Linked DNA regions of Danio rerio. The protein of the gene in region 3 interacts with the protein of the main gene of each other region in a pairwise test. Links are inferred from orthologs where the notes say so. Each region holds a gene or a part of one and is shown on either strand. Other genes may lie near its edges. The genes, in order: wwp2, rabgef1, rnf11b, si:ch211-202a12.4, rnf168, stam2 and smurf1.

Region 1 (4,165 bases), on a different chromosome or scaffold from region 3:
TTGTTTAACAGAGCAAGGAAATTTTCACAGTATGTCTAATAATATTTTTTCTTCTGGAGAAAGTCTTATGTTTTATTTCGGCTAGAATAAATCCAGTTTTAATTTTTTTTAAACACCATTTTAGGAACAAAATTAGCCCTTTTAAGCTAATTTTTTTCGTGATAGTCTACAGAACAAACCATCGTTATACAATAATTTTCCAAATTACCCAAACTCGCCTAGTTACCCTAATTAACCTAGTTAAGCCTTTAAATGTCACTTTAAGCTGTATAGAAGTGTCTTGAAAAATATCTAGTCAAATATTAATTACTCTCATCATGGCAAAGATAAAATAAATCCATTATTAGAAATGAGTTATTAAAATGATCATCATGATGATGAATTAATCAGTTTTCATGGCACTTCTTAAATATTATATTCTTCAATGAAAAGTGACGCGTGAAGGCTTACAGTGTGAGGTCTTCATTCCACTGCAGCTCGAGGTGTCCGCTGCGTTTGCCCGTTTTCTTGGTCTCGCTGCTCAGGCCGTCGGCGGTCACTTCCACAAATGAACTCAGGCGAGAGTGACGATTGGGCAGTTTAGGAGACTGAGGCTTCGCAGACAACACTAGCAGATGAGGAGAAGACGATGAACACTTCAATCAAAACAACTTCAGTGAGAAAGAGAACATTGAGGGAACACGAAGTTTTAAGACTTAAATATAACATATACTCCAGGGATTTTGAATGCTTGATTCTCATTGGCTAATGAGCATTCTGAGGTGTGCGGTTATTTTCAAATAAACACACAGCTAAAGTGCTTCCGGCAGGTTTTGGGTGCAATACAGTTAGTGTTGGAAATCAACAAAACAATCATAAACATTAATTAAAAAGGGCAGCACAGTGGCTCAGTGGTTAGCACTGGGGCCTCACAGCAAGAAGGTCGCTGGTTCGAGACCCAGCTGGGTCAGTTGGCATTAGTTTCCTTCGGGTGCTCCTGTTTCCCCCATACACATCCGCAATAGGGGAACTGAATGAACCGAATTGGCCTTAGTGTACGAGTGTGTGTGAATGAGTGTATGGGTGTTTCCCAATACTGGGTTGCAGCTGGAAGGGCATCCACTGCGTAAAACATATGCTGAAACTGGGGGTTCATTTTGTGGCGACCTCTGAAATAGACATTTTAATAATCTGCAACCTAATTACGGCTCTGTATCACTACGCTGAATGATAGCAGCCATTTCATCTCACAGCTACGATGGTCAAAAATCACATCAAAACACAACAGAAGGCTTTGGATGAGATCTGGTACGGATTTGGAAGAGCGTAAAGAACTAAAAGGAGCAGTTTAAGGACAAAAACCTGACACAGTCTGGTTAAACAGGTCTCGATGCACATGTGAATGTAGTCCGCTCATTACAAACAGACAACAGTCGGACTACATTCAGACATGCGCCGATATCTGTTTGACCAGGCTGTGGATCAAAGTTAATAATAGCAATCTTATAAATAATGTTTAATTTCTTACACTGATTGATCACTTTGCTTCACAAGACCTCAGCGTGTCTTCAGGAGCCACGGTTATTGATTTAGAATTGTTTGTAAGTGTTCATTTTTAATCTCCAAAACCAGTCACCATTCACTGCCATTATATAAAAATCACCAAGAGTCAGATTCAGCGAAAAAGTCTTCTTTAATGAGTAAAAAGAGTCGCCAAAGACCATCAAAGATGTCTGTGGGTGAGTAAACTAACAGGAAACTTTTACTTTTGGGGTGAACTATCCCTTTAGGCAGACTTACGACACATTAATAAGCGCCAAGAATGCACAACTCCATCAATTCACCAGAAACATTTATGATCTGGATTCCCGTAAGGAATATTCCATCAACCAGGAAATGTGCGCAAATGTGTCCTGACATGATCCAGCATCTCTCACACACACACACAGTTATGCAGTTATTATTCAGCGCACATCACCCTCTAGAGGACACAAAGCTCACTGCAAAAACACATGCTGAGGTCTGATGCTGCAGACTGATGCGTCACAGCAGCTGATAAACCACAAAAGATTCATCAGATCTCCTTATTAATCAAGTTAAAGCAGATTAATCACAAATAAATCAGCTTTTCTTACCTTTCAAGGTCAGCTGTGATTTCTCTATGGCCTGAATGCTGGCAGACTGAGACACACTGGCAGCTGCCATCGTCACAGCACATCACATCACAGCCCTGAATCACAAACAGCATCAGAATTATGACTGAAATGCTGAATATTAATCATTGGGGTATAATAAAGCACAACATAAACACTCTGACGCAACATAAACACTCTGGTGCACCACACACACACACACAGCTTAATACTGTTAAATCAACATCAAATTAATAACAGAAATCACCTAAATAGATTAAATAAGCTACAGTGATTGGTTTAATAATATAATACAGCGATATTCGACGTCTGTCAGCTTCATATAGCAGGTTCTGGTTTAGCTGAGACAAAAACAAACCAAGAATTTAGCCTAAATTGCTGTTTACAGCTGGTTATAACCAACCATATGTGTCCACCCAGAATTAAAAACATATGAGGTGAATTAATAATCGTGACCGGTCGTAATGTGTGGTTAAATGTCGCATGATGTGAGAGACAGTGACGCTGTTTGATTAGCCGCTCGTCATTCAGGAATAAAAAGTCGCGGTGTAGTTGAAATCGTCCTGGAAAAGCGCGTTATAAACGCGGATAGGTTTATACGTAGTGTAACCGTCTTTCTGGTTATAAAAACACATCGGAAATGTTTTGATTCCTACCTTTTATTCGCCGTGAGACTGTGGAGCGCTAACTGTCATTTCCGCTTTAATGTCATGGTCATGTGACTCGCCGTGGAGGATCATGGGTGCGGATCCTCTGTAGCATCAGGTTGCTGCTAGAAGGGATACAGCTGCGGCGGAGTAATAATGGTGTTATTTATTAAATTACTGATTGAATTGTGTTTTATTAACGTCTACAGCTATCAAAACGTTCATAGTAATGTAAAAACACAAATTATATGGTGAAATAATTATGTGAATTATTCAATTACTGATCAAATTGTGCTTTATTAACATCTACAACTATCAAAACCTTCACAGTAATGTAAAACAGTAATTATAAGGAGGAGAAGTACTCAAATTATTTACTGAATTATTAAATTTTATTTTATTAACGTCTATTTCTTTCCCATCCCTCACAGTATTATAAAAAAAGTCATTATGATGAAATAATCCAATTACTGATTAAATTGTGTTTTATTAAATGTCTACAACTATCAAAACCCTCACAGTAATGTAAAAACAGTAATTAGCTATAAGGAGAAATACTCTATTTACTGAATTATTCAAATTTTATTTTATTAATGTCTATTACTACACCAACCCTCACAGTAATGTAAAAACACTAATTATAGCGATAAATATTATTCATTATGATGAAATATAATTCAATTACTGGTTAAATTGTGTTTCGTTAACGTCTACAACTATCAAAACCTTCACAGTAATGTAAAAACACTAATCATAAGGAGAAATAGTTATTTAATAAATGACTGATAAATTGAATTTGATTTTCAAATTAAATTTGATTTTATTACCCTCTATTCCTATCCCAACCCTCACAGTAATTTAAAAACTGTCACGTTAGCGTGATCAAAACAGGAACAAAAACAAAAAGGTGCGGATCCAAGTGCAGATTTGTTTACAGTGCAACAAACAAGGTGATCAAAATACAAAGTAACAAACAAATGACCAAACTAGAAACTAAAACAGAGACAAGGCTCAGAAACAATAACTTTACAAACTAACGTTAGACTTTAGCAAAAAAATACAAGAACAAGATCAAAAAACTCGGTAGCAAGACTTACTAGAACTGGGGCCACGAACGACAAGGAAGACAAACGACGCTGTGACAAACAGAGGTGAAATGGTTGTATAAATAGTCCAGGAAATTAACAGGAAACAGTAACAGCTGTGAGCCAATCAGTGTACGTGGACCGGGTGTAATCAAGCGGCAACCTCCCGCTCTCCCTCAGGAAGCCAATACGGAACTAAAACTAAAATTCATCCGAAATTCCGCTAGTCCAGAGGTCCGTTCTTCGTACCTCGCTTAAATGATCTAAGATGATTTGGCAGATCATGGATCTTTTAATCTTG
Region 2 (4,259 bases), on a different chromosome or scaffold from region 3:
AGTAGTCCACAGAGTTTACTGGTTTAAGTGTAAACTGAGTTGCATGTTCCCAGCTATTGATCCAAACTGTGACATATGTCAGGCTGAACCTGCAAATCTAGTTCACGTTTTGGACCTTGTTTCCTTTTTGGAAGTCTGTTTTTGATTCATTTTCAGAAATGACATCTGTTCAAATGTATCCTTTTCCGATGGCCTGTTTGGAGTTCTACTCCCTTACTGTGAGTTACCCGTTTATTTTTCTAAATTAGCAGCTTTTCTGTCATTATTGGCTAGGTGGTGTGTTTTGTAGCAGTGGAGGTCTCCTCAACCCCCATACCATACTCAATAGATTAAAGATGCCTTATTTTTGTTAAATTAGAAAAAAATAAATATAGTCAAGGTCCAGTGATCAAGTTTTCTAACATTTATTTGCCATTCATGGAGCATGTCAAATCTCTGAAACTTGAAGCAGGTACTGTCGAATGAATGGTTGAAAATCTTGCTCTTTTAGTCTGTACTTTCCAGATGAGTACTAGTCCTGATGTAGCACAAGCATAAAACTCTTCCAGACATAAAACCGCAAGTTTAAAGAATGTGCCACCCCCCTAGCATATTCAGTTTAATCCCCTTTTCTCTTGCTCTTTTAATTTTTTTTCTTTTTTCTTTTATTATCATTATTAATTTTACCTAATACACCATGCTGCCAATCTCAACTTTCGGTACTGACTTTTGTATGTTTAATTTGTTAAATGAATGCACATCATATATTGTTTATGCACATCATATACTGTTTGTTGCACAATATTAGGCTTATAGTGTGGTTCATTTTTATTCTTTTAATCAATTTTATACTGATAAATTTATATATATATTTTTTTCTCTGTTACTTTTGTTTGTTAACTGTCAATAAAAAAATAAATACATAAATAAATAAAAAAATTATTTAAAAAAGAATATTCAATTTAGGGTTGCACAATGTATCTTTTCAGCACTGATATCCCAATTTATGTATCCACAATAGTAACATCACAAGATCTGTAATGTCCAGTCAGGGTTATATTTGACCAGAAGCAAGTAACAGTTGAGAATACATGTTATTATTGGAGTGATTGCAAAGTTTATATAGTCCATCAGAAGTATCATATCCAAATATTAATAATTACTTGCCTAGATACTTTCAGTCCCATCTTATTTTATTAGTACAAAGTGGAAATAAAGTGCTTAGTGCATGCAAAACTCAAAACACAAAAGATACTTCTTTTCTCATTTGTATTATTTGTAAGGTAAAGTTGCCTAAAAGTGTATAGTTTTTTAAGGTCTGAGACTGTATGACCATTTCAAATGAGATTAAAATATTCAGTCACAAAAAAATGTGTTTAACTTTAAGAAAGATGAATTGAGCTTATGTACAATTAAGACAATAGTGTCGTTTTCATTTGCTTATTCATTTTCTGCACCTGAACACTGCTAGTCTCCCAGACAACAATTGTGTTTCATGTGTATCATTGCTCTACTGTTTTTATCAATTATTGTGATTGATTTATTATATTTTATGCAGATACACTTCCCTACAAAGTCATCCTGATAAACATCTAATTTTTTTTTCTCAAATGGAGCTATTCATTTCATTCGGTGAAATTAACTTAATATCACAGGAAAACAAAACACTGTCAGTTTTCCCAATATCGTGCAACCCTAATTCAAATTGTGGTATTTACTGCGATGTTCATCAATGCGCCCAAATGCTGAAGACTGAACAGGTCATTATTTCCAAACGCAAATATATTCACTTTAATCTGGCCTATGACATGCCTGAGATTGATTGAAAATGTTCTGATTCCAATTGTTAGTTCATAAATGTAGCTATTACTCACTGATAATGACACTTAATGCATTAACTAGTATTTAACAATGAGTCCCTTTTGAAAAGTCTAACCTGTTATACTTTATAATCTCTTTGGCGACTGAATTTGACACAGTTGTTTATTCTGGAAGGTTATGTACAATGAAGCTATTGCGAACACTGGCATTGTGAACTAAACATGCATGAAGCAAGTCAACAGGAGTTACATTACACAATTTGCTCTGCAGACAATACTTGCAGAGCAACCACAGATATCAACATTGCTGCCAACGAGATGAGTCATTTAAAGAGCATGACAAATGAAAATGAAAGTAATGAGATATTCATACTACCATATTAAAACTAAGATTGATATTTCAGAGGTAAATGGGAGGGAAATAAATAGTTTTACTGATTATTTAATATTAAGCTAAAGTCAATAATTTCTTAAATAAATTAGTAACTTGATTAATAAATCTGATGTCAATCAACCAATTGCGTAGAACAAACCAAAAAGAAAATGAAACAATTAAACATCTATTATAGTTTAAATGAATAAATACTTTAAGGACAAACTTTGATTAGCTAAAGTTAACTTAGATGACACTAAACTCAGCGTAATATTGGATTGACTTATATTGATTTAAGAATTGTATGTCTTATTTGACATTTAAATCCAGTAAATTGAGGTAACTTAATTATTTGTCTGGTTATTTTAACATGCGGGCAGAAACTAATCTTATAAGGCATATTTTATCTACCGAAAATAACAAAATGTCATTCAACCCGCCGCAGGCAGTCAACACATCAAGCTAGCAAAACAGCTACGTGGCTAAAAACAAACGCAACTCTTGGTTGGCAGTATATGGCATAACTCTGCAACTTTCCGTTTATAAATAGGCAAAACAACATATTTAAGAGATGAATGGCAAAATACAGTGTTTAATCTTAATACAGAGGACGTGTACCTCGTCAGCGGTCTCTTCTCCGGGTCACAACGACGTCATATCCAGGCGACTGGTGAGGGAGGGACACTGGCTGGGCTGATCTCGAAATGTCAACATTCACGAAAACGTAACCATAAAACAATTCCAGCTTCTTCTTTTAAATGGCTGTCCACATATAACATTAATTGAGACGTTACTTGGAATCTTCCACATAAGTATTTGCTAAATAACAAAGTAAAATAAATTACATATAAAATTTCAAATAGATGCTATCCTTGTAATAGTTTGGTGAGTAAATATATGCAAGATATTGAAAACAGACAACTGGGTAAAACTATATATTTCAATGTTTCCCTCTATTTGTTGGAACAATTATTGTGGAATTTGGAGTACATTTGGACATCAAAGAGGATGACCTAACTGCAATTTGTTTACTTATTTTACCTTAATTCTTCATTCATAAATGCAAAATTTTGAAAACAGCTCCTCAATTGATTGCCTTTAAAGGGGAGTTTGCCACCCATGTAGAAGCTTTAAAAAGTAATGAAGGGTGAGAAGGCTAGACATTTGTATGATATGTTTCAAGAATATGGTTTTATTTAACCCCTTACATGGTTTCTTTGTGATGTCTGCAAGGTATTTTGTATAAGTTTTTTGTTTTGTGTAAATTTTATGGCTTTATATTTGATTCACTGTATATCTGATATGTCTTAGTCAGTTTGTGCAAAATTATGTTTGGATTGAGTTTGGCCTAAATTGTTTTTGAAAGACAAAAAAATTAGTACATAAGATATTTAAAAAAAACAAAAGTATATTTTGTGACTTGGAAGAAATCATTGTGCATTTTTCTTGTGAATGTAATTGTTAAATTATTTTGGACCGAACCATATAAAGACAAATGTTGATATTTGTTTAAATACTTTTGGCGTAATATTTTTTTATTACAACTCTAAATCTTGCATTCAGTACATTGTTAATCGTTTTATTATAATGGGTAAGTTTTTTGTAAATTTATGTGTAAAGTTTTGGGGGGAAATCATTTTCTGGCTATTTTTTAAATTGACTATAAGTCATATATTTTGTTTTTAATGAGCATAAAAAACAAAAAGTCTTTTAAAAGTCAAAAAGTTTTTTTTTTCTTCTTCTTTCTTATCTGTATAACACAGATTGTAACAACATTTTTTTCTAATGTTCCAAGTTTCTGCACTCTATTATTGACTGTTTTTGAATCCAATAATAAAAAAGAAAGAAAAAAAACTATTACAAAAACATTAAATTTTTTTTATAAAGTTACAATCTCATAGCGTTCAAAATATGTGGCAAATGCTTTTAATAGATTGCAAAATATATGGTTTATTATCAGCACAATAAGAGCCAGTACAATAATGCAATACAAACTGTCTTCATCAAATGTACAACAGAACAAATATGCATCGGATTGAGCAACAAAGTTGAGCTCAGTTAGGATTATCAGAAGCATGGCTGTGACA
Region 3 (4,131 bases):
TATTTTTTAATCGTGTTTCAAATGTATGAATTGGATTAGTGTATTTTTAAATCATGTTTTGAATTTACAAATTGGATTTGTGTGTTTTTAAATCGTATTTGGAATTCATATATTGTGTATTTTTGAACCGTGTTTCAAACTTACAAATTGGACATGTGTTTTTGAATCATGTTTCGAATGTATGAATTGTGTATTCTTAAACTAAGTTTCTAACTTACGAATTGGATTTGTGTATTTTTACATCATGTTGCAAATGTATGAGTTGGATTAGTGTATTTTTAAATCATATTTGGAATTCATATATTGTGTATTTTTAAACCGTGTTTCATTTCTTTCTTGTCGGCTTAGTCCCTTTATTAATCTGGGGTCGCACAGCAGAATGAATCGCCAACTTATCCAGCAAGTTTTTACGCCTCGGATACCCTTCCAGCCACAACCCATCTCTGGGAAACATCCACACACACATTCACACACACACACTCATACACTACGGACAATTTAGACTACCCAATTCACCTGTACCGCATGTCTTTGGACTGTGGGGGAAACCGGAGCACCCGGAGGAAACCCACGCGAACGCAGGGAGAACATGCAAACTCCACACAGAAACGGAGCCGAGGCTCAAACCAGCGACCCAGCAACCTTCTTGCTGTGAGGCGACAGCACTCCCTTCTGCGCCACTGCTTCGCCTGAACCGTGTTTCAAACTTACAAATTGGATATGTGTATTTTTGAATCATGTTTTGAATGTATGAATTGGACAACAATGTTAGCACAACTGATAAATGAAAGTAGTCCAGCACTTAACGTCCCACCTTCAGCTGAAAAAAACTGAAACTAAGACTGAAGAGAATGTTCCTTTTGCTTAATAAGATTATATTATGTCACATCAGTTGTGAGGAAATTACTGTGTGTGCTTTCAAGATGCATACAAGATTATCTGTGCTTCGGTCAACGGCTCACTATTATTTGTTATAAATGTAAAGTTGGTTTTGTATTTGCACATTATTTCAGTGACAACTTACTTGTGACACACTTCTTATAATGTTTACTATGGTACTTTGAACATTGGGTCTGAAATCACACGCAAGTATGACTTTAAACAACATTATCACTACTTATTTGACTCTGAACAATGTTGTACTTCAATAGTCATTGGCTGCTAATATAATTTCACTATTTAGGATTTGCAAAGACTAATTTTCAGAAATTATATTATTAATGCGAAAGTCTGAATGTCTAAATATTAAACCAATTTTACCTCAATCAGTTTGTTGGAGAGTTCTTGTAAAACAGATAAGGTCAACACAACAAGAGGATGTAACAGCCACCACAGTTGCAAACATTTCAGATCAGACATCTTCTGAGTCATGTTGCTTCTTACAAAACACAGTGACTGGACATAAAACGTTCACTTACGGTGCTACACAAGTTTATCTGCTTCGACATGGTTTGTTTCATCCAACAAAAAGACCCTGGCCAACCCAGTTCTTCCATTTGAACTATGTTTTGTAAAGCATGACATCACTTTAAAATATCATGATCTCATGACTTAGACCTCAACTGATTCCACATGTCCGTAAAATGGGGAAATCCCCGAGTGCAAGGCTTCCCAACACTTCTGACTAAAGGACAATGTAGAGCAGCCCATTGTCATATTATAAGCATTTTTAAGCTCTCTTCCCGGAAGTTTGCAAAAATATATATATAGTGAGGTAGTAACATTGTGTATGTGTACAACATCAGTATTAGTAATATTTAAATTAAATACATATAGTTTGCCCTTACAGTCTGTGAAGAGAAGAAAACAGAATATTTTAAAAGGTTTGTGTAACACTCGAGCAAGGAGAATAACATCGACATGACGTCACAACTGCAAACAAGAATCGTCACAACCAGAATGGTTACCTTTATCGCAATAAAGCTGCTGCTGGTGAATCAACACGCCACGGAGGCGGCAGTAAAGATGAAATAACAGACTGTCCATCTGTCTGGATGGTCTGACGTGAACTGCAGGCCAAGTTTACGTCGAACAAAGAGGATTTAGTATGGCACACACTCTAGGGCGAAATTAAACAGATGGAGCTCCTGCGGGAGCTTGCTGTTGGTGATATATTTACGTCTATTTGCTTGATATTATGAATTGCGAGTGTTCATGTTATGATTGAAGCAGGAGGGTGGACACAAGGCACGTTATATTAGTCAAAAGCAAAGTTTCTTTGTGTATTCTAATGGTTTTTATAAGCTTACCTGATACGGAGGTGGCGGTTCCTGATCTGGATCGTTGGCGTCACCGAAACTGGCCCTGTCTGACTGGGATTCGTGGAGCAAGGAGATATCATCCGAAGTGGGAGATTTCAGACAATTCCCCATCTCCTTTCCAAACTCCTTGTTGTCTAAATGTTGAAATCCTTCCTATCCCTTCCGCCCTTAATCACTCCAACCAGACTTCTGTCCCTTTAAACAGGACGACAAAACCCTCTATCATTCATTTACAACGATCCGATCACCATGAGAGATCCTGACGGAGAAAAACAAACCATTGTCGACACAAAGAAGCCTGGAAAAAGTGTCATACGCGGATATGAAACGATGTTTGTATAAATTCACACAGTCTAAACCTGTGAAACACGTCTTTTTGATTTAAAGCCTCTTTATGTAATGCTGTCCCTTTCTCTTCGTCTTAATAGTAAACACACTGGTTAGCCTTCCAGGAGATAATTTCCACAATATCAAATATGCGCTCGCTCTCAATGGCGACTCAGGCAATGTTGCCTTTCAGGCAGTCATTCTAAGTCCCGCCTCCGCACAGAATCCACCAATCAGTAGGCGTCTTCAGTAGTAAGGGCGCTATTAGTGGATACTCGTCACCCAATTAGATTGCAGACTTACAACACCAACAACAGGGGTTTAAAGCCTTTAAACTTGACCGCATTAGGCCGATTTAAAGGCATAGTTCACTTCAATTGTAAAATTGTCAGTTTGAAAAATAAAACGCACGACTTTCCCCTTTCCCCTGAAGAACAGATTGGAGGAATAACTAAACTGAGTGACTACTACATTATAACCAAATCGATGTCATGATGATTAAAGTGCAATTCGGAGGTAAAAATCCATCCAAGTTAATCCGGAGAAAAAGGGGTCGTCTTTCATATCTTCATTGCTTTTCTTGTTTAAATACCATATGGGAATTCGTATTTCTCAGTTTCCGTTTTTTTTTCCTGCTAGCTACTGATTGTTTCAGTGATTTTTACTGAAATTTCTTAAATGTAAAATAAACATGTTGTCATTCAGAGCATACAATGACAATCGTTCAAAATTACAGATATGCCATGTCAGAATTACTAGCCCCCTTATGTATATTTTCCCCCAATTTCTGTTTATCAGAGTTTTTTTCAACATTTCTAAACACGATAGTTTTAATAACTTATCTTTAATAACATGACAGTATAATGATGACCGTAAATAATGTTTTACTAGATATTTTTCAAGAAACTAGTATTCAGATTAAAGTGACATTTAAAGGCTTAACTAGGTTAATTAGGTTAACTAGGCAGGATAGGTTAATTAGGCAAGTTATTGTATAACGATGGTTTGTTCTGTAGACTATCAAAAAAAAAAAATAGCTTAAAAGGGCCAGTAATTATGACCTTAAAATGGTTTTTAAAAAACTAAAAACTGCTTTTATTCTAGTCTAAATAAAACAAATAAGATTTTTACCAGAAGAAAAAATATTATCAGACATACTGTTAAAATCTACTTGCTCTGTTAAACATAATTTCAGAAAAATTTAAAAAAAGAAAAAAAAATCTAAATTCTGACTTTAACTGTATGTGTTTATATATTTTATTTAGACAATACCATTCCAATGTTTTAACTTCAGAGGAATAAGAATAATTGGTGGATATAGATGTTTTATAACATTTTATTTCACTCTGAATGGTACTATTTTTAGTTGACACTTTATCAAATTGAAAGCGACTAATTACTGTCAAGACTATAACTCTTTAACTAATTTCTGGGTAAACTCTTTAAAAAAGCCCCCTTAAAGCTCAAAAAAGAAAGTCAGTTGGCATTTCTGTGTTGAGTTTGCATGTTCTCACATATTTGGCAAAAAAAAAAAAAGACAAAA
Region 4 (4,188 bases), on a different chromosome or scaffold from region 3:
TCAATGGTGTCACTTGGCTCGACCTCAAGGGTGATGGTCTTACCAGTAAGGGTCTTGACAAAGATCTGCATCTGTAAACAAATTATCAAAAGAAGATTAGCAATGACTAAAATTTGTACAGATTTATACGACTGATCTAAGATTTTACCTTAAATCTTCAAAAAGAAATCTTTTTGGAACACCACATGTTAGAGTTGTCGCGATACCATTAATTCACGTTATAATACTATACCAGCTGAAGTATCACGATACCATATAGTAATGCCATACTGTAATTCATAACTCAAATTATAAGGAAAATTGTCATAAATACTATATTTTATATGTTATAATAGGTCTACTTGAGTTTCATTAAATGAATGATGATTAAATGAATTTAATTTCAATTAAAGAAATAAGTATTATTTGCACACTATTTCACCTAAAATTTATTTATACTTTGTTTATTTTGTAGATAACTGATCAACAAAAAATACATTAGAATAAAGATACAAATAAACAAAATGGAATTTGTTACGAAAAGAGCATTTTTAAAAAAAAAATTATGAAAGTGATGAAAAATATAAGTGGTCAAAAGTTGTTCAAATATTACTATTTTGGGTTTTTCCATTTATTTTTTTATTTTTTCAGCCTTATCAGGGAACAATCCAAAGTAATTAAAAATATTTTTTTAAGACATTAAGTTGTTTTTAAGAGATTGCTGCGGTTGCTGTAGCTATTAAATCACATTGCCAGAAACAGAATGAACCGCTTCAGGTGTGCGTTTGAAATGTTAAAAAACATGCAACCTTAAGGGGCTCCACAGACTATTCAAATAAAATGGTCTATTGATGCACATATGTGTGAGCATTAATCACTTTCACAAGCAACACTACATAATATAGATAGACCGGTAATGAAGATACTACCGTTTACAAACTACAGTGGCACTGCCAGTATTTTGAAGCCACAGTATCGTGATGCTACCATAGTACCGGTAAACCGTGCAACCCTCCTACCACATATAGTATCTGTCAATCTGAGAGCATAGGCTTAATTCAGGGCAGGGCTAATGTGTTAGCACATCTATTACAATACAGAATGATTTTAGCTCATCCTTTCACAAACACAAGTTCTAAATCTTTCTCTGACCCCCACTAAATGTTTTATTAATCTGACGATAATTTAAAACTTCTCACTTTGAGACTTCCATGACGATGCATCAAGTTTATCATGTGACATTGCAGCCCTGAAGATTTATGTATATAATTTTCTCACTTATTTTGTCATTTTATGCAAACATTGGTTAACATCCTAAATATATTAGAAAATATCATATTCTGATAAATGAATATTATGATACAAACGCATCCATTTCCATTTCACAGATTAATAATGATCATGGGTGCCACCATGTTAGTGGAGGGATGCTGGATTTACAACATGTTAATTTATCAAATTACATGAAAGTGCCTGTTTAACTGGAAGAATAGAGTAAATGTTAGTTACCCTAACAGTTTGAACAAGGACATTGTCACATTGTGACAAATTATTATTAGCATATTAGCAAATTATTAAAATCTTTATTTTATGCCAATATCAATCCAGATGCTTCAAGCTTAAGTTTTTCTATAGAGCACAACCCTGTAGGGGTGATTTCCTCTTACCTGAGACAATAACTTAAGGGTGTCTCCTAGGTAATAGAAATCATTACGTGGACATGCATGCCTTGTAAAAGCTACTCTACATTAACCCAGAATCAGCTTTACAGAAAATAGTTAAAATTGAAACGGGGGTTATATCTATCTATCTATCTATCTATCTATCTATCTATCTATCTATCTATATCTGTGCACTCAAAATTCCGCAAATTTAAGTCCATGATTAATTCTATTTATTTACTAGAGTAAATGTGGGTAAATCTATATTTATTTACTTTTTAATAACAGTAATATTATTGACTTGTATGAAAATGTTCATCTGATTTATATACGATGCAGTTTGTACAGTGATTCTTTGTCTTTTAGTAGATACATTATATTAGACTTGCTTTGTTTACCAAATAAAGTGAATCTAATTGGATTTGCATTTTAAACATTAAATGAAAGTTTAAAAGATATTATTTTTAAATTCATATATTAAGGTTTTAGTTATGATACTCCCAAAATAATTCCGCAGAAATCCGCAGATTTTTAGCAAAATTCTACGCAAAAATAGCAAAAAACGCCCGCAGATTCCGTCTGGTCCTACATATTAAAAATGTTTGTTTTTTAGAAATATAATAAAAGTTGAGTTATGAACTTGTAATTTCATTCATACACTATATCGAAATAGTTATTTATGTTAACATTACCTCCTAAATTACATAAAACAATAAGTTACATAATTAAAAAATTGCACAATGTCATCATTTAAAAACGGTAATGCGCAACAACAAACATGGCCGCTGTACAGTAATATCCGGGTTCTTTGTTCATACAGCGCCATGACTCAGCATAATTTAATCTGACAAACTGCGACATTGAACAATTTAACAATTAAAAAGCAAACGTATCAATTTGGGAAAATAACATCGTATGAGTATTACTCTAGTCAAAGCATTAAGGACTGTAAAATTACTTCTTTACATTTAGTTAGGATGTCGAGGATATGAGCGCCAAAATCAATACAATAAACAGGAATGACGAAATATCAATAATAGTATACCTAAAGGTCTTTATGAAGGTTCTAAATCGAACTGGAATAGCTTTCTTACCTTATAAATATCGCTGAAACTGCTTCTGAAAGTGAATAAGTTCTTCTCTTCTTCGCAGAAAAATCAGCCGATGAAGCGAGTGAAACTGTTTTTATACAAACCCAACAGCGTGACGTTCTCATGTCACGTGAGCGGGTCTTTTAGTAGTCAAAACCTTTTTTTCGTTTGAAAAATTAAAATAAATGTTAAAACTATGGAATTATTTGATTTTTTAAAAATAAATACAAGTTATGTATCAATATTTGAAACGTATAATTTAATCATAAATTACCCATAAAGGAAGTTTCCACAATGTGCTGGAATGGGCTGGACTTGTAGGACAACCTGCAGGCAGTGATTGGCTGGTTTAGTGTTTGTTCGCTTTGCTATTGGTGATTCAGACAAGACCAGGCAAAGAGAAGAACTGACATACTGTATAAACAAAAATAGAACAGTCTGGAAAGATACATCGTATTACAGGACCAGAGATTATACAGCATTATAAAATATGAATTATAGTTAGTTGCGTGGGTTCCAGTGGATGTTTTGGTTGCTTAAAAGAAACTGATTGTGTATGGTAATAATGAACCCTGATATTAACTTCAGGGTACAGCTGAGTAAAGTGAGCAGGCAGAAGAATGGGAGAACAAAAAAAAAAACATTTATAAGGATACATTTGCGTGGAAAACAGAGCAAACAATAAAAATGTGATAATTGCAAGATTATACATTGGTCATACAGCGCAAAAAAGTTTGTGTAAAAAATTAAACAAGTTACTGTCATAAAAATGCTTAATAACAAATTACATAATTCAAGAGAGAATAAATAGAATTATTCTGAAAAATAACTGAAAGAAATCTGAGTAAAGTGTTAATCACACATTAGAATTACCACATTAAAGAGATCATTAAGGTGTCATCTGGATTGTTGAATGTCTCCGGACTGGAAAATTAGGTTTAAAAGTGGTTACAGTTTTTTAAGCCCCCAACCAAGTTTCATACTCCAGTCCTATAGGTGGCAGAAATGCACTTTCTCAACCACCAACAAAAAAAAATACATGATGGATTCCAATCTGAAGGGCTCATTCCTATGCCCTAATCCCTTCAGAGGGTTCCTCTAAAGAGATTAGCGCATAGGGATGAGTCCTTTCGAATTGAGTGTAGTGTGGAAAACCACACAGCTTTCCTGCTCAAAAGATAATTTCCCACCAAAGTATAATTAAATGATAATTGACACCAAGCAGCTTCCCTGCTCAAAGGATAATTTCCCAAAATGTTCATCGGTTTTATTTTTCAAACTCATTTATTCCTAGGGGGGCTTTTGATCACTTCAGTTTGAATGACACTTCAATATGGCGGCCATAATTTTATCACTACGAAGTGCCCTTCAGAGAGCAATGTATCTCGTTTAGAATGCCCATGTCTCTCCTATCAGTTACACATGGTTAGAATATATTTAACCCATAAATACTGCAC
Region 5 (4,208 bases), on a different chromosome or scaffold from region 3:
TGTTTTTATTGACACTGAAAAAAAATGATGTGAGGCTTTTTAAAACTTTGTTTTATTTTTTATAAACTTAGCACCACTTTTTTGACACCAGTTGAAATATATTGATATCGGTTCCTCGATAAAATGAAAACTACATACAACATAATTAACCAATTTGTAAAAATGCAAAAGAATTAAAATAGGCTGCACTTGTCCGCACATTAACATTTGAGCAGGGTAGATTTATTTTTGGTAGCCCGACTGAAAAACATAATAGCCTCTGGACATGTGGCTAGCAGTTTTGCGAGCCATGAAATTGGATGAGCTTGATAAACTCTGTATTTAGAAATGAATTACAATACTTCACAGACTGTCAAGGTACAGCAGGTTTCACATGGTAAAAATATGTAATTTAGCTCAAAAATGAGTTTAATATATATTTAAATTTAGTTTCTTTTTCACACTTCAGATTAGAGCTGCACGATACTATAATATGTGATATCGTATTGAGATATTTTTCATATTATAACTAGCTTATGTCTGTCACAATATTTTTGTGTGTGTGTGTATGGTACGATATATAGCACCAACATTTATATGATAAACAATAGTATTGTGACGTTTAGACCATTTTGACACTGTAATATCATCACAATGCACGTACACTCATTTTATTCTCAAGGATATTTCATTTAAATATAGTCATTTTAACAATTTAGTAATTAGGCATTGAATCAGAATGTGAAACTGAATATTCTAAACAAATAAATAATAATAATAGATGTTAAGAAAAAAAATTGCAAGGTAGAAAGATCTAGAAAAAAGAAGCATCTATTTTCAGTCATCAGTAGGCCCACACGGAATCTGCGCGCGCAGAATTCCGCAGATTTTTCGCGGAATTCCACAGATTTCTGTAGATTTTTAGCCCATCATTAAGTCTGTTTATTTACTTAAGTAAATGTGTGTAAATCTAATTTTTTTTTTAAACTAATTACAGTAATATTATTGACTAATATGAAAATGTTCATTTGATTTATGTACAATACAGTCTGTAAAGTAATATTTTCTGTCTTTTAGTAGATATATTATATCTAGTAGATATATTATATATGAGAGACTTGCTTTGTTTACCAAATAAAGTGAATCTAATTAGATTTGCAATTTAAACATTAAATAAAAGTTAAAAAGGTATTACTTTTTATTTAACTAATTAAGGTTTTAGTTACGATACTCTCAAAACAATTCCGCTGAAATTCACAGATTTTTACCAAAATTCTCCGCAGAGATAGCAAAAAACGTCCGCAGATTCCGTCTGGCCCTGATCATCAGGCACCCATGGAAGTATACAAAAGTAATTTATAGTAAATACTATAGTGTTTACCATACCAACACTGACACCTCCAATAGAGATGGAGAAATCGCACAATCAGCTAGAAATGTTGCTTGACTTTTATGTATGGGCAATATATATCGCATCAACAAATATGATTGAGGTCATGTCCATGTATTGTGCAGTAAGTCAATATAGTGATTATTGTGACAGGCCTAAACTAGCTTGCAAAATTTTATTTTATCAGCAATTAAAATATATATTTATTTAGGTTATGGTCTGGTCATACTAAAATAAGCAGGTAATAGATAATTTCCTGAGGTAATTAAATTTTAAAAAAAGATATATAACTCTAAATACTGTGCAGCCCTACTTCAGATTGTGACTAATTAAATTAATTATTTTTTAATTAATATGTATGGACACAATATTTTTAACATTTATATACAAAACCCACTAAAATGTCATTCAGCGTGACAAGAATTTAAAAAACAAAGTAAAAAGTAATCAACAAACAAACAAAATTCCAAAAATTATATTTCATATCACCAGGATCAACCCATTTGTCAGTAAGTTTTTAATGTTTTCAAATACTATGAGTTTTTTTTTTCTGTATTTTCACTATTACAGATCAGAAGTTTTACATTTTTACATAAACATATCCATTACGCTGAATGACGATTTTTAATACAAATTTATATATTTTTTTGTCTTTAAAGTTATTTGAAATAACTCAGTTAATACTTTGCCATTATTTAAAATGCTTTTACACATAAAAGTCCTTTTTAAATATAACTTGATGCCAACAGCAATAAGCGGAAGTCTTATTTTTGACCCACACATGTTTTATGAAATGAATATAGAGATTGAAAATTGTAATAAACCTAATGAATACTCAAACATTTAAACAGTTTTCATAAAAAAATTATGTAAACCTAAGTATTAAACAGTAAGGTAGTTAGTTATGAACTAGTTAACTAGACAGTAAACTAGTTAAACTAGCAATTACATTTTTTTCAACGAACACATTCATATTACTGGCATAATTAATATAATTACGTCAAATCTGATGTGATTTTAATGTTTACATCGACTAGTTGACAGTTCTCAGACATGATTAACGTGTCATTAACGTTAAACTCTGCAGTTTTGACCAAACGACGTGCCTTTGATATATTAAGGTAATTTATATCATCAGTTTACATCTTAAGTTAATTTTTTTTCAAGTTATAACACAAATTCTAATCGGACGGCTAGCAAGTTAGCAACTTTCTAGCAGTGACCAAACTGCTGTTTCTGTAGAGATGACGGTGAGGCTAAACTGAAGGATTGCTTTTGTTAGTACAATACGTAGTTTAATGAATGGTTTTGTAATGTGATCAATTAGAAATTTTACATCTTACACACTTACGCGCTTTCTTGCTCACAAGGCCACAAAATCCCGGGAATATTTTGCGCCCTACTGCCCGCGCGTGTGAAACCATGGGCGGCAACGACAAGACAGTGTTTCAAAATAAAAGCACTGCTGTTTCATTTGGATTAGATCAGTAGAAGAACATACAATACAGCCAACCTTGTTTGAGGACTTTGATTAAGGACTTGACACTCATCTTGGACTAAATGACTAAAGACCCCTGGATTGTTGCTGTTTGATTCATGACATTTGTTGTTATTGTTTTTCAAGCATTCAATAAAAAAAAACATACAATACAGCCGGTAGAAGAACATACAATAAATGGTTAAATAATAACAAGCCTTCGCTCCGTATTTGGTATGGCTTCATGACGCATTACCTGAAAGATTAAAAACGTTTTACAGCCATATATTAAAAGTTTCAGTAGTATAAAAAGTATTAAAAAAAACTTTATAACAGCATGAAACGCAGACAATATAAACGAGCTGATTTAAATTTTGATTGTAATTATAGGTAGTATTTCAAACACTAATCTTATTTTTCTTTAATATTATTAAAGAATTTCTTAAGGCTACATTGCGTAAGGCCACATTTCCCTGCTGAATTTTTTTTTTGTTTTTGTTTGTTTAAACTAGCTTGGTTAGTTGGTTTTAGGGTGGTTATAGCCATCTCTGGCCTGGAATGAACAGCTAAAACCAGCTTTACCAGCCTGCTTTAAGCTGGACGACGTAGCTGGTTTTGGCTAGTCTTCCAGCCTGACCAACTAAGACCAGATCCTGTAAACCCCTGTAAAACCAGGCTGGTCGAATTTGAGGTAAAATTCATTTTACATTTGCACATTCTCCTTTTCAGACAGGTATTCGTTAGAGATTCTAAATAAATAATTCATATTAGCAGCCAATGAATATCTAAATACAACATTGTTCATGACCAATTAAAAAGTGCTTGTTGTTTTGAAGTCATGCATGCTGTTTTTAACCAAATATTCAAAGTACAATGGTAAACGATATAAGGACCATGTCAACAGATGCAGATATAACCAGTAAGCAAGGTAAGCAGTCGCTTAGGGCCCCAGGGAGTCTTGCGGCCCACAATTTTTATAAGTTATATACAACATAATTTTCCATCATATTTTGTAGGGATGTCCCGATTAGGGTTTTTGCCCTCAAGTCCGAGTCATTTGATTAATAGTAGGCTATCTACCGATACCAAAACCCTATCCAAAAACACATAATAAATACTTTAAAAAAGAATAAAGAAGTGAAGAAGCAGATCAAGGATGTTCCTTATTTTTTATTTAATTCACCTTATTTTAACATTCAACAACTCTGTTAACAAACAGAGCACTTCTGTGAGGTAGCTTGAACATCCAAGTAATAACTTAAATTCTTTACTTGTGGACTTTAGAGCAACAGTAAACATATATAAAAAAATCAAATAAAACGAATTGCTTCTCAATTTAAAATACCCAACAAGCAATACTTA
Region 6 (2,656 bases), on a different chromosome or scaffold from region 3:
TCAAATATTTCCAAAATGATGTTTAACAGAGCAAGGACATTTTCACAGTATATCTGATAACATTTTTTCTTTTGGAGAAAGTCTTTTGGTTTTATTATTAGCCCCTTTAAGCTATATATTTTTTTCAATAGTCTACAGAACAAACTTTCATTATACAATAACCTGCCTAACTATTATAACCTGCTTAGTTAACCTAATTGACCTAGTTAAGCCTTTAAATGTCACTTTAAGCTGTATAGAAGTGTAGTGAAAAATATCTAGTAAAATATTATTTACTGTCATCATGGCAAAGATAAAATAAATTAGTTATTAGAAATGAGTTATTAAAACTATTATGAAATGTGTTGGAAAAAAATCTCTCCGTTAAAACAGAAATTGGGGAAAAATAAACGGGGAGGGAGGCTAATAATTCAGGGGGGCTAATAATTCTGACTTTAACTGTATATAATAAAAATGCATAAATAATGCATCTCCGAATTGAATCAATACAAAAAGCAACCTTTGAAACACAGGTAGTTTTTATTTTCTGAAGACTATAAGAGTTCACCGTGTTACAAAAAGAATTTGAGAAAAAAAAAGAGCAGGCAGGATATAAAGAAATCTTGATGTTACAAAACATTGAGTCCATGAGTACAATAGTTTTTCCCTCTAAATCTCTTAAACATACAGGTTTACAAATATACAGCAGCTCCTGAAATAAGTTCTCCGCATTGGTTTCTACATTTATTTTTGTTTCGTGAAAGAACAAGGCATCTGGTGGTAAATAAATGTTTATAAAGTTAAGGTGCGGTACAGCCAGATATTTAACATCTAATATACAACATCTGTTTATGAAAAGAGACATTTTTTATTTATATTTTACTACATTAATCCAAAATGAATGAGAATGAAAGCTGACTATATGGACTATAAAGGAATCAAACATTTTCCCATTTCAGGCAAGAAGAAATGGGTGAGAAAGCACATACGTAAGAATCGGAAAACGACAATTAATTCATTTCCGGGCTGAATAAAATTGTAGACCAGATGAATTACACCGTATGCATTTTTACACGCTTAAATTAAGTCAAACAACAGCAAACACCCACAATGCAAACACAAGCAGTACTTGCATATCATAAATATCATTATACAGCGAAACATATGGATTGACCATAAAGGGATTGCATTTGTGACCACCGTCAGTTCTTAACCAAAGCAATTGATGAAATATTACATGAAACATCGAACTCTAAAACCGTCGTTCTGATTGTAGGAGTTTACACAAGTGCTCTGTGTATTGGCACAGAAATTCATTCCAGATTTGGTGATCACGTATAATCTTCTTCACACATTTGTCCTCTCCATAATGCATGGTGATATTTATTTATAAAACTCTCACATTTGCTATCGAAGAGCAAGAAATTAAAGTTTAGGATTGGCTGACCCAGAAACAAAGGAAAAATGGCAACAATTAATCAAAAGTCTTAAAGATGTACGCACTTTACCATTATATCTTAATTCGCAATCAGAGAAAGAGTCACATATGCTGGTGTTTATCACAAGATGGTGAAAATGCTGTCTATGATTATTGTGACCGATTCCATCAACAGCCCTAAACCGCTTCATGAGTTAGTAAATGGGAGGGGAAAAAAATAAATGCATTTTCGAGAGGATTACATGTCTGTCCGCTGACGCCATATGTCAGTAAATCTTTGCATACCCCTTGACATCAATATGCATGAGAGAGGAAAAATACCCTCGGCCTCATTTCAACGTTTGGAATTTAAACTTGGAAATTTATGGCTGAATAGTCAAACATGTAGCCTTATAAAAGGGGCTGCTGGTAGAAAGCCGCTTGTTGCTGCTGAGGGGCAGGTTGGGCCGGAGCTGACATTGGATAGGAGGTGGGAGGCAGACCAGGATTAGCGTTCTGATAGGCTGACATGTCCATAGCCACACCCATCTGTGGCGGGTAAGGGGTGGGGCCTCCAGGGGCTTGGTTTACATATGGTGCATTCATTGGGCCACTGTAATAAATAAACAATAAGTGGTTATTGAGGTTTTACCACATTCAGAATCATAGAACTGACCAGTTCTCTAGTGTTTTAATAAAGGAACACTCCACTGTTTTTGGAAATAGTTGGATTTTACAAGTCAAATAGAGCTAAACAATTGAGTTTTACTATTTTTAAATCACTTTAGTTGAAATCTGTATCTGGCAAGAGCACTTTTAGCTTAGCTTAGCATAAATCATTTAATTGGATTAGACCATTAGCATCATGTTAAAAAAAAAAGACTTGAATTTCGGTAAATTTTCCAATGTAAACTTGACTTTTGTGGAGTTCAATCATGTACGAAGACCAATGGAAAATTAAAAGTTGCTATTTTCTAGGTCGAAATAACTAGGAACTATACTCATATTCCAGCATAATAATCAAGGAACTTTGCTGTAGGTACAATAATATTACACAGCACTTGAAAATAGTCCCCAGCTAGATAACTAGGTAACAGCACTGTGTAATATCATTGTGCCGGCTGCATGGCAGCAAATGTCTTGATTATTACACCAGAGTGAGACTATAGTTCCTACCCATAACTTCCTAAATGCAGGTGAAAACTTTGTTATAATGCAAATCAACACACAAAGTCAATTGGTAGGTTATGACTCATAATT
Region 7 (4,180 bases), on a different chromosome or scaffold from region 3:
AGGCCAAGAAAGACACTACATGGGAGACTGGCAGTGTTGCCAATCGCTTAATTTTTTCAACGAGAACTGATCACTTAGTTTCAGTATTTATCCATGAATTGTAATTGAGGAGTTCAAATGCAAGAACCTAGAAAATGCCATCTGAAATTTTCTTTCAAACTGAGAATTTTTTTCAGGCTCCTGTGTGTAAGTTTAGTAATAAACACATTTATAGCAAATAAGTCATTTTTATGGTCTTTAAAGTAAAATAATTCAACATAAACAAAGGAGGTTGAAAAATAAAAGTTTATTTTTGATGGACATTTCAGACAGCGCATAGAGGTTTTAGCATCTGAACTCTTGAATTGTTTTTATTTTGCATTTTTAAAGGAATAAAAAAAAAACAGTTTGATATTTCCTTAACCTTTTAACCGCCCACCAAGAAAAATATTTTTGGATTGCATTTCTTAACTCGTAATGTCGCTAGTTAAAACACTAAATCAATTTTTTCCCCCATAAACTTACCATAATCCCATAATTTCTACAATATTAACATGTACAAAAATGGTAGAAATGTTAATTTATAGTAAAACTACAGAAATTAATTCATATGCTATGAAAAATATGAAAGTATAAAGTCTAAGACTATTTTATATTTTAAAATATAAAAAAATAAACATTTTTGAATACCACATGAATTTTTTTGATGTATGCCGAAGTGGTGCGACAGGATTTTCTTTTTTTCTTTGTAAACCAACAATGCTGTATTGTGTTAACCATTCTTTAAAACTCTCTTTAAAATGACTTTAACGGTGATTATTTAAAACAGTAAAAAGATGGTCAACCGTGTGGTAGAGCAGGCAGTTATAGGGATAAAGTTTTTTTTTTTTCCATAGGATAGTTTTGTATCAGAAGATGATGTGTGAAATGTTTATAATAATAAGGTCTGTCCACATAAAACTGTGAAAATGTGAGAGTGTAATTCGTTCATTAAAAGTTATATTTGGTTTACAATATTTATAGTAAAGTTAAAATAAAATACAAAAATAATCTAACAAGATTGAGTCATCTTCTTTCCTTAAATATTTAAGCTTAGTTATTTCACAAAGCTTATTTATTGCACACCTTTTAGTAAATTCTCTGGAATAACTACCCTCATAATAAAACTATATCATGAAAGATATCATCTAATGTGAAATAAACTTTCTTCATTTATAATTTATATCTGATGTGGTTATATTTGACTAAAACACCACAAGCATTTGCATTTTAAAAACACTTTCTTATCATGATAATCACATTTTTGCTTGTTTCCTTTTGTTGTGTGTTTGTGTTAATGGTAATGTGCCAAAACGTTTAGTTTTTCATACCATTATGAAGACAAATATGAAAATAAATGACTGAACCGCAGCAGAGCATTAACGTTCATTTCAGCATTTACCAAACTACTGCAAAAGTTGTATATTTTAAAGCTGTCTCTGAGCTAACATTGACAATGAACTGTTGTACTCTGTAAACAAAAGATAAAAACGGTTCAATTCAAGTTTACTTCGTTAATAATTATAATAATAAAGCAGCTTCACAAAGGGTACACATCATTACTACATCCAAAATCAACAAACCACTGTAACAAACACACTGCTCAATATAAATGAAGGGCATTAACATTTACAAATGAAACTTCACTTTTAAAATCTAATATACAAGAATAAAGAATAAAACGTTTAATCTGGTCTCTACTGAGTCTATAATAAAATGCAAACCACATAACCTTGTCATTTGGCGTTTACCAGTCTTCCTATTCCACAAACGCTTTAAAGGGCACTGATAAGTCAACATCAGATCTGGTTTAAAAAAATAAAAAGGCAACTGTAAAAGCACTCCTCCAGGGCACTGTCACTATGTCTGTGATGATATCAATGAGATCAGTATGCATCTATCATATCCTGTTCGTTTCCAAGCAAAGAGCGGTTTCAAAAGAGTAAGGAAAAAAATCCTCCCCCAAAAAACCCATCTGTGGATTGTGAAACAGTACACTATCACATAAAGATCAACCCCATAGTTAGCTTACTTCCGAAAGCAAGCACAGCGCAATAAGCAAAACATTAATGAACAGTCTGTCACGTATTAAAATCTTAATTTACAACGAAGACACTGGCGTCCAGATGAGGGGAAACCGAGAAAACAGCTGCCTCTGCCTCATCCGGTTTATACTCAGCTGATTTATGACTAATCCAACCTAACAAACTGTGCACGGGGAGCTGCTTTCGGCTGATAACGTTCACACAAGTGCAAATAAAGCAGGTCCACTGACTATTGTGCTGTTTATTAAATAAAAAAGGGATGCTTCTCGTGTTAGCATGCGTTTAGCATGAAGAGACAGGGCTGCAGCAACTCGCCTCAGCAGAAGCTAGCAGGATCCTCGCTTAGCGTTTTACACACATTTGCGACCGACACACAGTTATAAGCTAACCAAACGTATAAAATGATAACTAACAACAAATTAGTACATTAAAGCGATAAATTAGCGTATTAGAGGGTGTTTTACCTGTCAGTCGGATTTTGATGCTTGACCCGTTCCTTCGAGTCCCAGGATTCGACATCACTCCCACAAAAAAACCAACGAACTTTCTCTCAGGATAAACCCAAGACGCTCGCTTCACGAGGATATAAAAACGTATAAAAACACGCGACGCGATCGTGTGGCCTGTGCATGTGTTTCTCGGCGATAAAACGGTATTATTTCCGTCTGGCAAATCCCCTGTAGCTTTCAGACTTAACAACACAGGCTAACATTTTTTGAGCTCAACGGCGTTCTGACATCACGTTAGTACAGCTGTACGTGCACGTACCCGCGGCTGGGCGTGCGCGCGCTCTTCTTCCTGGCGCTGGAAGTCCGTTTGTGTTGTGTGATGTAAAAAAGGATATTAGTCATGTGTGTCCTGATTTCGAATTATGCTATGAAATTTCGTGCTTTGCGTGTTTTTCCAGCCACGTCAGCTGAAGTGAATTGATGTATTTTTTAAGTAGACCAAATGTTATTAAGATTAGATAGATCTAAACAACAATAAAAAGGATTTATTAATAAAATAAATACAGGATAGATAGATAGATAGATAGATAGATAGATAGATAGATAGATAGATAGATAGATAGATAGATAGATAGATAGATAGATAGATAGATAGATAGATAGATAGATAGATAGATAGATATGGATGGATGGATAGATAGATAGATAGATAGATAGATAGATAGATAGATAGATAGATAGATAGATAGATAGATAGATAGATAGATAGATAGATAGATAGATAGATAGATAGATAGATAGATAGATAGATAGATAGATAGATAGATGCATGGATGGATGAATAGATGCATGGATGGATGGATAGATGCATAGATGGATGGATGGATGGATGGATGGATGGATGGATGGATGGATGGATGAAAGGATGGATGAAAGGATGGATGGATGGATAAATGTAGAGATAGATAGATAGATAGATAGATAGATAGATAGATAGATAGATAGATAGATAGATAGATAGATAGATAGATAGATAGATAGATAGATAGATAGATAGATAGATAGATAGATAGATGACTGCATGGATCTGGGGCAGATTGATGAATTTGTTTGTCATTTTCGCAGCATCCATAACATTTTAAGTGACCTGATTAGCATTAGAGGTTGTTGTTTTGAGTTTGAGTAATAAATAATGAGATGATGGATGCAGATGATTTCCATTACATTTGCATGATTGTGATTGCATTAATTGCGGCTTGATAATTGTCGCGTTGTAGAAGCAAATAAGGTTAGCCTGAGCAATAGTGGAAGGGATTGGATTGGAGGACTTTAGCAACTGGAAACAATAGAGCCATTTAATAGTGTTGTGCAGAAGAAAAGCCAATCCACGTAAACAGCAGGCTAATGAGGGTGGCAGGCCACACACTGGCCTTTTTCAATCCGTCACCACTTTAATGAGCAGAGAGCCATTGTACTCTTGGCATAATAATGAAATGTATTTGATCTGAAGACTCATTAAAATGGAAACAAATACATATTAATGCAATTAATTAAATCAGTTCATTGTGTGGGATGCAACGTGGCTTAATGAGGTACATCTGAAGATGAAACATTGACATAAATGTAAACATTAGAATGTATTGACTGATCAGTTTAATTATGTAAGGT

Evidence for each region.
Region 1: the proteins of rnf11b (region 3) and wwp2 interact in binary tests that used the Homo sapiens proteins (3 or more experiments, as listed by UniProt). The link is inferred for Danio rerio from reciprocal best matches to the Homo sapiens genes RNF11 and WWP2.
Region 2: the proteins of rnf11b (region 3) and rabgef1 interact in binary tests that used the Homo sapiens proteins (3 or more experiments, as listed by UniProt). The link is inferred for Danio rerio from reciprocal best matches to the Homo sapiens genes RNF11 and RABGEF1.
Region 4: the proteins of rnf11b (region 3) and si:ch211-202a12.4 interact in a two-hybrid assay, tested with the Homo sapiens proteins (3 studies listed by BioGRID and IntAct, with this or other methods). The link is inferred for Danio rerio from reciprocal best matches to the Homo sapiens genes RNF11 and UBC.
Region 5: the proteins of rnf11b (region 3) and rnf168 interact in binary tests that used the Homo sapiens proteins (3 or more experiments, as listed by UniProt). The link is inferred for Danio rerio from reciprocal best matches to the Homo sapiens genes RNF11 and RNF168.
Region 6: the proteins of rnf11b (region 3) and stam2 interact in binary tests that used the Homo sapiens proteins (3 or more experiments, as listed by UniProt). The link is inferred for Danio rerio from reciprocal best matches to the Homo sapiens genes RNF11 and STAM2.
Region 7: the proteins of rnf11b (region 3) and smurf1 interact in binary tests that used the Homo sapiens proteins (3 or more experiments, as listed by UniProt). The link is inferred for Danio rerio from reciprocal best matches to the Homo sapiens genes RNF11 and SMURF1.

Annotation. Positions count from the first base shown.
Region 1 is NC_133200.1:37,280,467-37,284,631, reverse strand, and holds the start of wwp2 (NEDD4-like E3 ubiquitin-protein ligase WWP2), read right to left. Parts: upstream 2,801-4,165; 5' UTR 2,789-2,800; intron 2,210-2,788; 5' UTR 2,185-2,209; coding exon 2,115-2,184; intron 608-2,114; coding exon 451-607; intron 1-450. UniProt on the Homo sapiens protein: E3 ubiquitin-protein ligase which accepts ubiquitin from an E2 ubiquitin-conjugating enzyme in the form of a thioester and then directly transfers the ubiquitin to targeted substrates.
Region 2 is NC_133185.1:37,879,354-37,883,612, forward strand, and holds the start of rabgef1 (rab5 GDP/GTP exchange factor), read right to left. Parts: upstream 2,801-4,259; 5' UTR 2,791-2,800; intron 1-2,790. UniProt on the Homo sapiens protein: Rab effector protein acting as linker between gamma-adaptin, RAB4A or RAB5A. Involved in endocytic membrane fusion and membrane trafficking of recycling endosomes. Stimulates nucleotide exchange on RAB5A. Can act as a ubiquitin ligase.
Region 3 is NC_133183.1:18,241,609-18,245,739, forward strand, and holds the start of rnf11b (RING finger protein 11b), read right to left. Parts: upstream 2,801-4,131; 5' UTR 2,373-2,800; coding exon 2,250-2,372; intron 1-2,249. UniProt on the Homo sapiens protein: Essential component of a ubiquitin-editing protein complex, comprising also TNFAIP3, ITCH and TAX1BP1, that ensures the transient nature of inflammatory signaling pathways. Promotes the association of TNFAIP3 to RIPK1 after TNF stimulation.
Region 4 is NC_133180.1:42,862,212-42,866,399, reverse strand, and holds the start of si:ch211-202a12.4 (polyubiquitin-C), read right to left. Parts: upstream 2,801-4,188; 5' UTR 2,735-2,800; intron 72-2,734; coding exon 1-71.
Region 5 is NC_133190.1:4,313,128-4,317,335, forward strand, and holds the start of rnf168 (E3 ubiquitin-protein ligase rnf168), read right to left. Parts: upstream 2,801-4,208; 5' UTR 2,721-2,800; intron 1-2,720. UniProt on the Homo sapiens protein: E3 ubiquitin-protein ligase required for accumulation of repair proteins to sites of DNA damage. Acts with UBE2N/UBC13 to amplify the RNF8-dependent histone ubiquitination.
Region 6 is NC_133184.1:39,775,757-39,778,412, reverse strand, and holds the end of stam2 (signal transducing adapter molecule 2), read right to left. Parts: intron 2,010-2,656; coding exon 1,808-2,009; 3' UTR 501-1,807; downstream 1-500.
Region 7 is NC_133178.1:39,720,208-39,724,387, forward strand, and holds the start of smurf1 (E3 ubiquitin-protein ligase SMURF1), read right to left. Parts: upstream 2,801-4,180; 5' UTR 2,583-2,800; coding exon 2,528-2,582; intron 1-2,527. UniProt on the Homo sapiens protein: E3 ubiquitin-protein ligase that acts as a negative regulator of BMP signaling pathway. Mediates ubiquitination and degradation of SMAD1 and SMAD5, 2 receptor-regulated SMADs specific for the BMP pathway.